Linked DNA regions of Saccharomyces cerevisiae S288C. The main gene of each other region encodes a partner of the protein of the gene in region 2 in a complex. Each region holds a gene or a part of one and is shown on either strand. Other genes may lie near its edges. The genes, in order: END3, SLA1 and LSB3. A codon is read from its position in the direction of its gene.

Region 1 (3,374 bases), on a different chromosome or scaffold from region 2:
TGCATATGTTCCTTGGGCTTGTAGTCTTGTTCTTAAAAGATTGATTGGATAAACAACAGAAGCTCCTACAGTTCCACTGAATGCACCCATTGGAAGTACAACCAGGTTGCTTAGAGTGACCTGATCTTGTGGTAGGTTCAGGGTCTTTGCCTGTTTGGCAATATACCATTTTTTTAAGGCAGAAAAAGTCCCCAAATCTAATGCAGCATAGGGAAATATGCCCACTATACCGACTGTGACACCTCTGTAAAATAATCTGACCCCCCCCCTCTCGAAACATATCTTTTGCAGTCTGAAAGAGCAAATTATTCCCCTTCAACTTTGTGTCCAAAGGAGCGCACTGCACCCTGAATTTCAAAGTATCTATAGGATAAACGGAAAACTGAGCTGCCATACCAGCTAAACCACCAGCAATGTAAGTAGAGAACTTTGAAAGATCTTTTGTGTCGCGGCAGCCTTCTAATTTGGTCATTATTTTCTTGGTGACCTCGAAAGAACCAAACTTTATCGAACTTTCTGGAAAAACTTTGATGACGTTTAAACCGTTCCCAACATAAAAAGCCTTTATCCCGCCTTGCCTATATAAGCTTTTGACAGCCTTTGCTAATGGAGATGATATCTTGTTTATGTCAGCATTGGGGTTTTTAGCAAGGAGATCTGTTTTTGAATTTAACAAGATCGAGGATAGATCCGTTCTTGCGATGAGAAACACTTTCAGTCTATCAAATGGCGCGGTACAAGTCCTTGAAATAACACCTGAAATACCACCAGCAATAAAAAACCCGAACCCGCGAATGAAATCGTTTATGAGAGTAACATCTCCCTCTGAGGACAGATCGACATCTTCGTTGAATAGGTAAAAATAGGAATAAGCAGTATGAAGTCTCGAACCCTGCTTTCTCGGTACCAGCAGCAAAAAGTCTCTCCATTGATCATATGTAACGTATAAATCTGAGTCGGTGGTTTTCTTTGACCGATCATTATCAGTATTCTTTTTGTGGCTAGCCTGGCCTCGTAGCGCAATGTTGGCTTTTCTCTTTGGAAACGCCCATTCAAAAAACCTCGAGAATTTGTTCATCTTTTCATTTGAAAGTTCATGATTAAGTTCATTATTACATATGCTCTGGTTGTCGAGGTCTGACAAATACCTATTTATTTCGTTAATGCCAATCTTACCGTCATGATCTAAATCTATCCTCTGGAAGCCGTTCCAAATTTGAGATTCGGCATTGGAAGCATACTTCTTGAAATCGCTTAAATCAACTACAGAGTCCTTGTTAACATCCATTGCAGTAAACAGCATTTTGATTGCCTCATCATTTCCCTTGAGCGGATGGTCGTTCTTCTCAAAAGCACTTATCAGATTATCTAGAGTAACTTGACCATTTCCCTTAACATCAAGTTCCTTGAACAAACACGCATACCGTATATCTCGCTGCTTGTCCGTCTCGCAATTTTTCAGCAGCATTTAGACCGTCATTCGATTGAATTAAACGTTATTTGCCCCTTCAAATATTCAATATTTCCCATCGCTAATAAAAAAGCTGCATTTTTATTTATTACTTTTTAAATATCATATTTGACGATCGTGTAGGACCCCTATGATTTAACATATCAAGAATGAATGAAAAGAACGTCAGAAACACAAGGTTAATTGCCTGTTATAATCAGACGATTGTAATATAACCATAGAGTTAGTGGGTATTGGAAAGGCCGGTAAAGATAACAGGGATCTCTGAAAAATGCCCAAGTTGGAACAATTTGAAATAAAAAAATACTGGCAAATCTTCTCGGGTTTGAAACCAATAGAGAATAAGGTAAACCATGACCAGGTTTTACCAATTCTTTATAATTCCAAATTAGATTCATCGGTTCTAAACAAGATTTGGTTTTTAGCTGATATTGATGACGACGACAATTTAGACTTTGAGGAATTTGTAATTTGCATGAGATTAATATTTGATATGGTTAATAAAAACATTAGCTCTGTTCCAGATGAATTGCCTGATTGGTTGATTCCAGGGAGTAAGGTGAATCTAATCAAAGAAAGAAAGAAGCGCAAGCAAATAGAAAACGCAGACTTGCCTCCAAAGAAGGAAATCAAAGTAGATTGGTACATGTCTCCAGATGATTTGAATCAATATGAAAAAATTTATAATAGCTGTGCAAAACTAACCGATGGTACTATTACATTCAACGAACTGTCAACAAAACTTTCCACAAAATTTTTTAACATCAGTAAGACAGATTTAAATAAGGTTTGGAGTTTAATTAACCCACAAAATTTGCCATCAATTGATAGAGATCCTACTTTTTATTTTATTCACTGTTTAAGACAAAGAAATGATTTGGGTGCTGAAATTCCAGCAAGTTTACCAAATTCTCTGGCGGAGGTGTGCAATAAAAAACAACTGAGCTATGATTTACGGTCCTCTCAACCTCCTACAAAGAGAAAAGAAGAAGCTAACGAAGTGGACAATCTGCGTGACAATGGGCAGAACTCGAGTTCCGATAGCAGTGGCAGTAACGTGCTTTCAAATGAAGACAGTATAAAGCAAAAATATGCTTCTCTGACAGATGATCAAGTTGCGAACATGAGAGAACAATTAGAAGGCCTTTTGAACTACAAAAAGAGTGAAAAAACTCAAGGAGGCTCAAAACTTTCTAAGCGGATTAACATCAGGTCGATAACTGATGACTTGGATAACATTGAACAGCAGGTTGAAGTATTGGAGAATTACTTGAACAATAAGAGACACGAATTGCAAGCATTACAAGCAGAAATCAATTGACACCGATAATTAATTTTATGTACATGAATGTGTAATATTTACTGTTTGTTATTTCACTTGTAAACTTTTTTGATTTGAACTTCAATCTATCCAGTAACGGTGTGGTGTATACTTATTTTTTCCTTTTCTTCTCTGCCGGAATTTCATAAAATTTTTACTGTTCAGCGTTCTTTACATATTTATATAATAGAATATGTCATATAAAGAAACAGTGACTTAGTTTCTGTTTTACTTTTTTTCTCCTATTTCTACCGTGATTTTGATTAGTTTTTTCTTTAATTGTTGCTATTCACTGTGCTTGTGTTAAATCTTGATGATGGTACTTGAACCCTCTGAATAATGATAATATACCTCTTTACAGTAACTATCTTTCTTTATTGGGTGCTTTTTAAATAGTTCCACTATTTCCATCATACTCATTCTCACGCTTCAGCTAGATAGAGCTGTTGTAGTAAACTCAACTGCTTTAGTGAATAATTTAAACACGTTTTCATCGATTAATTTCGCAGCATTTAGCTCCTGCATGACTTTTGAAATTTCAAGAAGAAATCTATGGGATTCGACAAACTGTTCATCAAGATT
Region 2 (6,214 bases):
ACCTTGGATCAAATGTTCATAACACAAATCAAACAATCTTAATATTAGATAAATAGTTTCCTTTGTATCTATTAACATCGATGAACCCGTGTTTTCGATATTTTTTTTAATTAAATATCCTATACCTCTTAGTGAAAAAGCCTGTATTGGAGAGAAAAGACCAAATACTTCATCTACTAGTGGAGTGGTGGCTAGAAATGAATCTGGACTTTGTGATTTAACCATTTGGTCTGTCCAAAAGGAGAACCTCGTCATGTGTATTTTATTTCTATACTTGTTGGTTAAAAGATACGTTTCTATCGATCTTTGTGGGCGAGGAGAGAAACTGGAAAGCTTGGGGTAGTTTATTTCGGGATTCCAACTGTTAATCAGGTTATTCAACTGCGACTTCGTTTTATCAATCAAGAGCTGAGTGTCATCACAAGGCGGCAGAGCGTACAAATTTGTCAGAATATTTTGATACGTAACCAGTTGATTTTGATATTTGGAATCATCTTTAAAGAGAATATTATTATCATTAGTAGGATTATTGGAAGTATCAGGAGCATGCGTCGCACTCGGAGAGACTGGAGTCTGTATCAGGTCGTTCATCAGTTTGAAGTAATATTGATTATCTAGCTTAATCGCAGTGTCCAGATGCTGTACATCTGCTGAAGCCTCTACATTGGCGTGGGAAGAGGGTGGAGCAACAGCTGTAGTAGGCAAAGACTGGGAACTATCCTCCTTCTGCGGTAAATGTTTTTTTAGGAATACACACGTACAATCGTAAGAAATGCAGTTGGTACATGGATATTTACCTGTGCATTTGATTTTCCTTTTTCTGCAATTGACACATGCTGTCGAAACTTTTGATCTAGTTGATTTCTTCACTTTCATTGCGGTCACGCAATAAGAAAAAATTAATAAAACTGCTGATGCAGTTGTCGCCTAAGACCTATGGTTGCTTTGGAAGGCTCCTGAAGACACAAACACAGGAAATACATAAATACATTAATGAGATTCTATAACAGTATCTACATATTTGCATTCTAAGACTCACTGTGATAGTTCATTTATTATTCCGCGGAAAGTCCGAGCGGCAGAGGAGGCAGCTCCGCGGAAACAAGGGCAGCGCCTGTTGTTCTGGAAGAAAATGAAAAGTGAAATGCAGTTGTCGTGGAAATAATGGCTTTACCTGAAAGCAGCAGAGCACGGTGTTAACAAGGAATAGCTGAGAATGAGTGGAAGTAATATGGGATACTATGACGTACTCGCAGGGCTTTCAGCGCTGGAAAAGTCATCCCAGGTAGTGTTCAGTGCGACTGAGCTTCAACAGCTTACGCAACAATCTCATGCTACCGACAAGGGCATAGAGGGCAGTGAGAATAGTAAAGCGAAGGTATCCAAGCCCAAAAGAGTAGCTGTACATGGTTACCTAGGCGGTAAAGTGTCGCTCGCCGATGCGGCACAGGTGGAGTATGAAGTAGGCCATTCACTGCTGGGCAGTTATGTGCCACGCCAGCAGTTGGAAGCCCTGTCAAGTGTCGACTTTTCGCACCATTTCCACCGCACATTAGAATGCAAAGCTGCTCTAGAGACACACGATGTTTTTCTTGCCGGCGCAGGACAATTGTCTCTACCCTTCCAATCACACATAGAGAGCCCCAGGAATAGCGAGGCTAAAAGGAAAAGAAAAGTGATAATATGCAAACGGTGTCAATCACGATTTATAGGTTCCCATAGGCGGTCTCAACTTAGAGAACATGCCTGCGTAGATTAAACCATGTAATTGATAGAGGTAGAATGTTGCTTCGTAGAAAGTGACTATACGATTCCTAAAAGGGGCTTCCTTCCACTCATGCGAAATCGAGATACATCAGACGAAAACAGAACGAATATTTAGCGCATATATACTATGTATATCTATTGCAATCCTAAAAGAAGGGATAGTGTAACATAGCCAAGGCGACAGAGTGTGTTATATACAAAAGAGCTAGAGTATGACTGTGTTTCTGGGCATCTATAGGGCCGTCTATGCCTATGAGCCGCAGACACCAGAAGAACTGGCCATCCAAGAAGACGATCTGTTGTACCTCTTACAGAAGTCAGACATTGACGATTGGTGGACAGTAAAGAAAAGAGTCATTGGTTCCGATAGCGAAGAACCGGTGGGTCTAGTGCCCTCCACTTACATTGAAGAAGCTCCTGTTTTGAAGAAGGTAAGAGCCATTTATGATTATGAACAGGTGCAAAATGCTGATGAAGAATTGACGTTTCATGAAAATGACGTTTTTGATGTATTCGATGATAAAGATGCTGATTGGCTGTTGGTTAAGTCTACCGTTTCCAATGAATTCGGCTTCATTCCAGGCAATTACGTCGAACCAGAGAATGGGTCCACTTCCAAGCAGGAACAGGCTCCCGCTGCCGCTGAAGCTCCTGCAGCTACTCCTGCAGCCGCTCCTGCTTCTGCTGCCGTACTACCCACCAACTTTTTACCACCTCCTCAACACAATGATAGAGCTCGTATGATGCAAAGTAAAGAAGACCAAGCTCCAGATGAGGATGAAGAGGGCCCTCCTCCTGCCATGCCTGCAAGACCAACGGCTACTACCGAAACTACTGATGCCACCGCTGCGGCTGTTCGATCTCGTACAAGACTATCATACAGCGATAACGATAATGACGATGAAGAGGATGATTACTATTACAACAGCAACAGCAACAACGTTGGAAATCACGAATACAATACAGAGTATCACTCTTGGAACGTTACCGAAATCGAGGGAAGGAAAAAGAAGAAGGCCAAGCTATCAATCGGTAACAACAAGATAAACTTCATACCCCAAAAGGGGACTCCTCATGAGTGGTCAATTGATAAATTGGTCTCTTATGATAACGAAAAGAAACACATGTTCTTGGAATTTGTTGATCCATATAGAAGCCTTGAATTACACACTGGTAATACCACCACATGTGAAGAGATCATGAACATTATTGGTGAATATAAAGGTGCTTCCCGTGATCCTGGGTTGAGAGAAGTCGAAATGGCTTCCAAATCCAAAAAGAGAGGTATTGTTCAATATGACTTCATGGCTGAATCACAGGACGAATTAACCATAAAATCAGGCGATAAAGTCTACATTTTAGATGATAAAAAATCTAAGGACTGGTGGATGTGCCAACTGGTTGATTCAGGGAAAAGCGGTCTCGTTCCTGCACAGTTTATTGAGCCTGTTCGTGACAAAAAACATACTGAATCTACAGCAAGCGGTATCATCAAGTCTATCAAGAAAAACTTCACCAAATCTCCATCTAGGTCGAGATCTAGATCAAGATCTAAATCCAATGCCAATGCCAGTTGGAAAGATGATGAACTACAAAACGATGTTGTAGGTAGTGCTGCCGGTAAAAGGTCAAGAAAAAGTTCATTGTCCTCTCACAAAAAAAACTCTTCGGCGACCAAAGATTTCCCCAATCCAAAAAAATCGCGTCTATGGGTTGATAGAAGTGGTACTTTCAAAGTGGATGCAGAATTCATTGGATGTGCTAAGGGGAAAATCCACTTGCACAAGGCTAATGGTGTCAAGATTGCTGTCGCCGCTGATAAACTATCCAATGAAGATTTAGCGTATGTGGAAAAAATTACTGGGTTCTCCTTAGAGAAATTTAAGGCGAATGATGGGTCTAGTTCCCGTGGCACTGATTCAAGAGACTCTGAAAGAGAAAGAAGAAGGAGATTGAAGGAGCAGGAGGAAAAAGAACGCGATAGGAGATTGAAAGAGCGTGAATTATACGAATTGAAAAAAGCCAGAGAACTCCTAGATGAAGAAAGATCAAGGTTGCAAGAAAAGGAATTGCCTCCAATAAAACCACCAAGACCAACCTCTACTACCTCCGTTCCAAATACGACGTCCGTACCACCAGCCGAAAGCAGCAATAACAACAACTCCAGTAACAAATATGATTGGTTCGAATTTTTCTTGAATTGCGGCGTTGATGTAAGCAATTGTCAAAGATATACAATAAATTTTGATAGAGAACAGCTTACTGAAGACATGATGCCTGACATCAATAACTCAATGTTAAGAACCTTGGGTCTGCGCGAAGGTGATATTGTTAGAGTAATGAAACATCTTGACAAGAAATTTGGAAGAGAAAATATTGCATCAATTCCTACAAATGCCACTGGAAATATGTTTTCACAACCTGATGGTTCATTGAACGTTGCTACAAGTCCGGAAACCTCACTGCCTCAGCAATTGTTGCCACAAACAACAAGTCCTGCTCAAACAGCTCCTTCCACATCAGCTGAGACAGATGATGCTTGGACTGTTAAACCGGCTTCTAAGTCTGAATCTAATTTACTCTCTAAGAAATCAGAATTTACTGGTTCCATGCAGGATTTATTAGACTTGCAACCTTTAGAACCTAAAAAGGCAGCTGCCTCGACACCTGAACCAAACCTAAAAGATTTGGAACCCGTGAAAACTGGCGGCACCACTGTTCCTGCTGCTCCGGTTTCATCTGCTCCGGTTTCATCTGCTCCCGCTCCATTGGATCCATTCAAAACCGGTGGCAACAATATCTTACCCTTATCTACTGGCTTTGTGATGATGCCAATGATTACTGGGGGCGATATGCTGCCTATGCAAAGAACCGGCGGCTTCGTTGTACCACAAACAACTTTTGGTATGCAATCGCAAGTTACTGGTGGTATCCTACCTGTTCAAAAGACAGGAAATGGGTTAATTCCTATCTCTAACACTGGCGGCGCAATGATGCCACAAACTACGTTCGGCGCAGCAGCTACCGTCTTACCTCTGCAAAAAACTGGAGGTGGCCTAATACCAATTGCCACCACAGGAGGTGCGCAATTCCCGCAAACTTCATTCAATGTTCAGGGGCAACAACAACTTCCAACAGGTTCAATATTACCTGTCCAAAAAACTGCTAATGGATTAATTTCAGCTAATACTGGTGTCTCAATGCCAACTGTACAAAGAACAGGCGGCACTATGATTCCACAAACATCATTTGGCGTTTCACAGCAATTAACAGGTGGTGCAATGATGACCCAACCTCAAAATACAGGGAGTGCCATGATGCCTCAAACATCCTTCAATGCTGTACCACAAATTACTGGAGGAGCAATGATGCCTCAAACGTCCTTCAATGCTTTACCACAAGTTACAGGGGGAGCAATGATGCCTTTGCAGAGAACTGGTGGTGCTTTGAATACATTTAATACTGGAGGCGCCATGATTCCCCAGACTTCGTTCAGCTCTCAAGCTCAAAACACTGGCGGGTTCCGGCCGCAATCCCAATTCGGTTTGACTTTACAAAAAACCGGAGGTATTGCGCCATTAAACCAGAACCAGTTCACTGGTGGAGCCATGAATACTTTAAGTACAGGGGGCGTTCTTCAACAACAGCAACCACAAACGATGAATACCTTCAATACTGGTGGTGTTATGCAAGAGCTCCAAATGATGACTACTTTCAATACTGGTGGTGCTATGCAACAACCACAGATGATGAACACATTCAACACCGATGGAATTATGCAACAACCACAGATGATGAACACTTTTAACACTGGGGGTGCTATGCAACAACCACAACAACAAGCATTACAGAACCAACCTACTGGATTTGGGTTTGGTAATGGACCTCAACAATCAAGGCAAGCCAACATATTCAATGCTACTGCATCAAATCCGTTTGGATTCTAGATTAATGTATTTTAAGATTTTATAGGATAATAACTAAAACAAGCTATATGAAATAGTTTCGTACAATCTGTGCTTATACTCGTGAAAATGGCAAATTTCTCTTTTTTTTTTTATAAGTAGTTATGTATGTATTTTACTAATTTTAATATAATCGTTCTCAGTCCCAATAATGTTTTATTGTCATATTATACTAAAGTTGAAATGGTGGAGTCGACCCTAAGAATTTATTTCTTCCAGACAGAGGAGGTGTGTAGTCACTTTGGTTCCACTAATAGACAACCGACATTAAAATACTTCTGATCTGTGCCTTCAGAAAGCTTCATCTGTAACCGCTTGTCTGTATGAGTCGTTTCAAATGGTAACCACTTAAACAATGCGAATACTACAATGATATTTATAAAATATAGACGTAATTATGAGGGAAAAAACTTGTCCAAAGGAAGGGGTATAAGCTTATTATTTATATAACGACCAACAACCCAGATCCTTAGTCCATTTAT
Region 3 (4,039 bases), on a different chromosome or scaffold from region 2:
GTGTTTCTTCCTACTAATATATCATTATATGGGTATAAGAAGATGGCATAAAAGTTGAGAAACAACCATCGGATTTAATGGAGGCTGAAATGCAAGGATTGGTAATGGAATAGGATAATGAATGACAGCATATAAAATGGAGGAAGAGGTGATAATATTATTACGTAGAATTCTCTTTTTTGGATTCAGGATCAGTGAGGACAGCTTCTAGTATATTCTGCATACCTAAATGCTATTCTTTTTTTTATCAATTTGATTTACTAAATGCTATTTATCCCAAATAATCCATATAAGATTTTAATCTAGATGGAGGGTAAAAGCGCGGAAACATGAGTGTAAACTGATTGTGCAGATATTTACACATTTGAGTAGCTCGTCAAGGGCAATCAAGCTTTCAATCTTGCCGGTTTCATACATGTTGATAAGCTAATGAAACTACTAATGTCTTGCTGTAAAGTAAACCTGTATCATTTCTGTTTGGAAGATTTCAACAAACGTTCGGGCGTGTGGCGTAGTCGGTAGCGCGCTCCCTTAGCATGGGAGAGGTCTCCGGTTCGATTCCGGACTCGTCCATTTAAATTTTTTTATTTTTTTTGTCAAATCTCTCTATCTATAGAGATAATCTCTATCAACTCAAATGATACTGGATATTATATGTACATTTTCCATTTCCCGTACAATCTTTCCCTTTCAAACACATTTTAGTACTTCTTGATACGTACAATTCAGTAAAAATCCTCGAGGTCATGCACTCACACCATTCACACTCCGGTGACTATAGTGCCCACGGTACGGACCCTTTGGATTCCGTGGTCGATCAAGTGGTCAACCTCAACTTTCACACGTACTGTTTGACAGAGCACATACCAAGAATTGAGGCCAAGTTTATATACCCCGAAGAGCAGTCATTGGGCAAGAATCCTGAGGAAGTCATAACCAAGCTAGAAACATCGTTCAAGAATTTCATGAGTCATGCGCAAGAAATCAAGACTCGTTATGCTGATAGACCCGATGTGCGGACTAAATTCATTATAGGAATGGAGATCGAAAGTTGTGACATGGCTCATATCGAATATGCAAAGCGACTCATGAAGGAGAATAATGATATTTTGAAGTTTTGTGTGGGTTCGGTCCATCACGTCAACGGGATCCCTATTGATTTCGACCAACAACAATGGTACAATTCATTGCATTCCTTCAATGATAATTTGAAACATTTTCTCCTGTCTTACTTCCAATCACAGTACGAAATGCTGATCAATATTAAACCGTTGGTCGTGGGTCACTTCGACCTTTACAAATTATTTTTGCCCAATGACATGCTAGTAAACCAGAAATCGGGCAACTGCAACGAAGAAACCGGAGTTCCTGTAGCTTCACTGGACGTCATCAGTGAATGGCCAGAAATATACGATGCAGTTGTAAGAAATTTACAATTTATAGACTCCTATGGCGGCGCAATTGAAATCAATACGTCCGCATTAAGAAAGCGCCTCGAGGAGCCGTACCCCAGCAAAACCTTATGTAATCTGGTCAAGAAGCACTGTGGATCCAGATTTGTTCTAAGTGATGACGCACACGGCGTGGCGCAAGTGGGTGTGTGCTATGACAAGGTAAAGAAATACATAGTAGACGTGCTACAATTAGAGTATATTTGCTACCTTGAGGAAAGCCAATCACCAGAGAATCTGTTAACTGTAAAGAGATTACCCATTTCGCAATTCGTTAATGATCCCTTTTGGGCCAATATATAATCTGATTATCTTGAACTGGATGTACATAAAAAAAAACTGTCATATAAACTCATGTACAGCTGTGTAGAAGTGAATGATCTTTCCAAGAAAAAAATTTCACACTGAATTGATTGAATTGACTGCTCATTTTATATTGGGTGCCCAAATTGTCTTTCTTTATTGTTCGTTTAGTAGCAGCACCCTGTTTGCTCGCCGACTCGGCCGCATCTGGAAGTTCAACATGAAAGAGTATAAACTATCGAAGAAATCTAGAACGGCTTTGGATCACGGGTGGCAAAGAAATCAAAAACAAAAGCTGTATCACACGCAATGGGTATTAACAATCCTATTCCAAGGAGTTTAAAGAGTGAGACAAAGTATGTTTTATACGGGTTTGGCTGGGAAACCTTTAAAAAAGTTCTCCCTTAATTTGTTCATCATTTACTAACTAGTAATAAACAATTAATAAAGAAAAGCAGCGAAGATTTTGGCTAGTTTTGTCAAACCAAACCAAGTTTTTGGTGCGGACCAAGTCATTCCTCCAGACGTTTTGAAAAGAGCTAAAGGGTTGGCTATCATAACGATCTTAAAAGCAGGTTTTCTATTTTCAGGTAGAGCTGGTTCTGGTGTGATTGTCGCAAGATTAAAGGATGGTACTTGGTCAGCTCCATCTGCCATTGCCATGGCAGGTGCTGGTGCCGGTGGGATGGTTGGTATAGAATTGACTGATTTTGTTTTCATTTTAAATACTCAGGATGCTGTTAAGTCGTTTTCTGAATTTGGGACCATCACGTTGGGTGGTAACGTCTCCGTTTCTGCTGGGCCTCTTGGTAGAAGTGCAGAAGCAGCTGCATCAGCCTCCGCCGGTGGTGTGGCTGCAGTTTTTGCCTATTCTAAGAGTAAAGGTCTATTTGCAGGGGTTTCTGTGGAAGGTTCGGCTATTATAGAAAGAAGAGAGGCTAACAGAAAATTTTATGGTGACAATTGTACCGCGAAAATGATTTTGTCTGGTAGGATAAGACCGCCTCCAGCAGTTGATCCATTGTTTCGTGTTTTAGAGTCCAGGGCGTTTAATTACAGACCCTCCAACGGTGGTCGTGGCAGTTTCGATGACGACGAAGACGATTACTATGACGACGACGATTACTATAATGACATTCCTAGTTCATTCAGTTCTACAGATGCTTCCTCCACTAGACCTAACACAAGATCCACAAGGAGAAGAGCCCAAAGCGGTTCTCGTTATACGTTCGACGATGATGATGACGATGATGATTATGGTACTGGCTATTCAAGGAATTCAAGACTGGCTCCTACCAACAGTGGCGGTAGTGGTGGTAAATTGGATGACCCATCTGGAGCTTCAAGTTATTATGCCAGCCACAGAAGATCAGGAACTGCTCAGTCAAGGGCTCGTTCTTCAAGAAATCGTTGGGCTGATGATGAATACGATGATTATGATGATGATTATGAATCCGGGTATAGACGCGGGAATGGAAGAGATAGGACAAAAGACCGTGAAGTCGATGACTTGTCGAACAGATTTTCTAAATCTAGAATCTCGTCCGCTTCAACACCGCAAACTAGTCAGGGCAGATTCACTGCTCCAACATCCCCATCCACGTCTTCTCCAAAGGCCGTGGCATTATATAGCTTTGCAGGAGAAGAGTCCGGAGATTTACCATTCAGAAAGGGTGACGTGATCACAATTTTGAAAAAATCAGATTCTCAAAATGACTGGTGGACCGGAAGAGTCAACGGTAGAGAAGGTATATTCCCAGCAAATTACGTTGAACTAGTTTAAAAAATTTGAAGGAGAGTAAAGAATACGAGAAACGTTATTGATTTACACTTATACCTTTTGCCTTACAGTTTATCAGCACTCGGACCTAAATACATATCATATAGCAGACGGCGTCCCTCTGTCTATCCTTTTAAGAATTTTTTCCATAATAATAATTTTTAATAATATCTAAATATAACGAAAAAGATTGAATTAGTGTAAATAAAAAAAATAAATAAGGAAAACTCTAGCTAAATTAACAAAGAGACATTCATCTTTTAAATCCTAACGAGCTTGCAGCCTCTTCAATTTGTTTTTGCAATACACCTTCATGATATGGACTACTATTTAGCAACGATAAAAATTTGTCCAATATTAACACATCGCGATTCCAATAAGTGTCGAATATATACTCAGCTATTCCGTGCACATTTTCGTCTCTAGTGGCACTTGGAAATCTCATGAAATCTATACCTCTTCTTACTTGCTTTTCGAATGTTTCCAAAACTTTCTTATTGAAATT

What was found.
Region 1: SLA1 (region 2) and END3 share a complex: the UniProt entries of both Saccharomyces cerevisiae proteins name them as parts of the PAN1 actin cytoskeleton-regulatory complex.
Region 3: the proteins of SLA1 (region 2) and LSB3 are in contact, whole or in part, in a crystal structure (PDB 1SSH), measured with the Saccharomyces cerevisiae proteins. Residues at the interface, in NP_009546.1 of Saccharomyces cerevisiae: Pro193 (codon at 2,556), Pro194 (codon at 2,559), Pro195 (codon at 2,562), Ala196 (codon at 2,565), Met197 (codon at 2,568), Pro198 (codon at 2,571), Ala199 (codon at 2,574), Arg200 (codon at 2,577), Pro201 (codon at 2,580); in NP_219497.4 of Saccharomyces cerevisiae: Tyr409 (codon at 3,382), Phe411 (codon at 3,388), Glu414 (codon at 3,397), Glu415 (codon at 3,400), Asp418 (codon at 3,409), Gln436 (codon at 3,463), Asn437 (codon at 3,466), Asp438 (codon at 3,469), Trp439 (codon at 3,472), Ile450 (codon at 3,505), Pro452 (codon at 3,511), Asn454 (codon at 3,517), Tyr455 (codon at 3,520).

Annotation. Positions count from the first base shown.
Region 1 is NC_001146.8:469,471-472,844, reverse strand, and holds END3 (End3p), read left to right. Parts: upstream 1-1,742; coding exon 1,743-2,792; downstream 2,793-3,374. Other genes in the region: Ca(2+)-binding ATP:ADP antiporter SAL1, read right to left, coding at 1-1,468; MKT1 (Mkt1p), read right to left, coding at 3,222-3,374. UniProt on the Saccharomyces cerevisiae protein: Component of the PAN1 actin cytoskeleton-regulatory complex required for the internalization of endosomes during actin-coupled endocytosis. The complex links the site of endocytosis to the cell membrane-associated actin cytoskeleton.
Region 2 is NC_001134.8:212,132-218,345, reverse strand, and holds SLA1 (cytoskeletal protein-binding protein SLA1), read left to right. Parts: upstream 1-1,979; coding exon 1,980-5,714; downstream 5,715-6,214. Other genes in the region: drug-responsive transcription factor PDR3, read right to left, coding at 1-876; LDB7 (Ldb7p), read left to right, coding at 1,217-1,759; HIR1 (Hir1p), read right to left, coding at 6,171-6,214. UniProt on the Saccharomyces cerevisiae protein: Component of the PAN1 actin cytoskeleton-regulatory complex required for the internalization of endosomes during actin-coupled endocytosis. The complex links the site of endocytosis to the cell membrane-associated actin cytoskeleton.
Region 3 is NC_001138.5:201,458-205,496, reverse strand, and holds LSB3 (Lsb3p), read left to right. Parts: upstream 1-2,063; coding exon 2,064-2,110; intron 2,111-2,204; coding exon 2,205-3,537; downstream 3,538-4,039. Other genes in the region: HIS2 (histidinol-phosphatase), read left to right, coding at 747-1,754; PES4 (Pes4p), read right to left, coding at 3,788-4,039.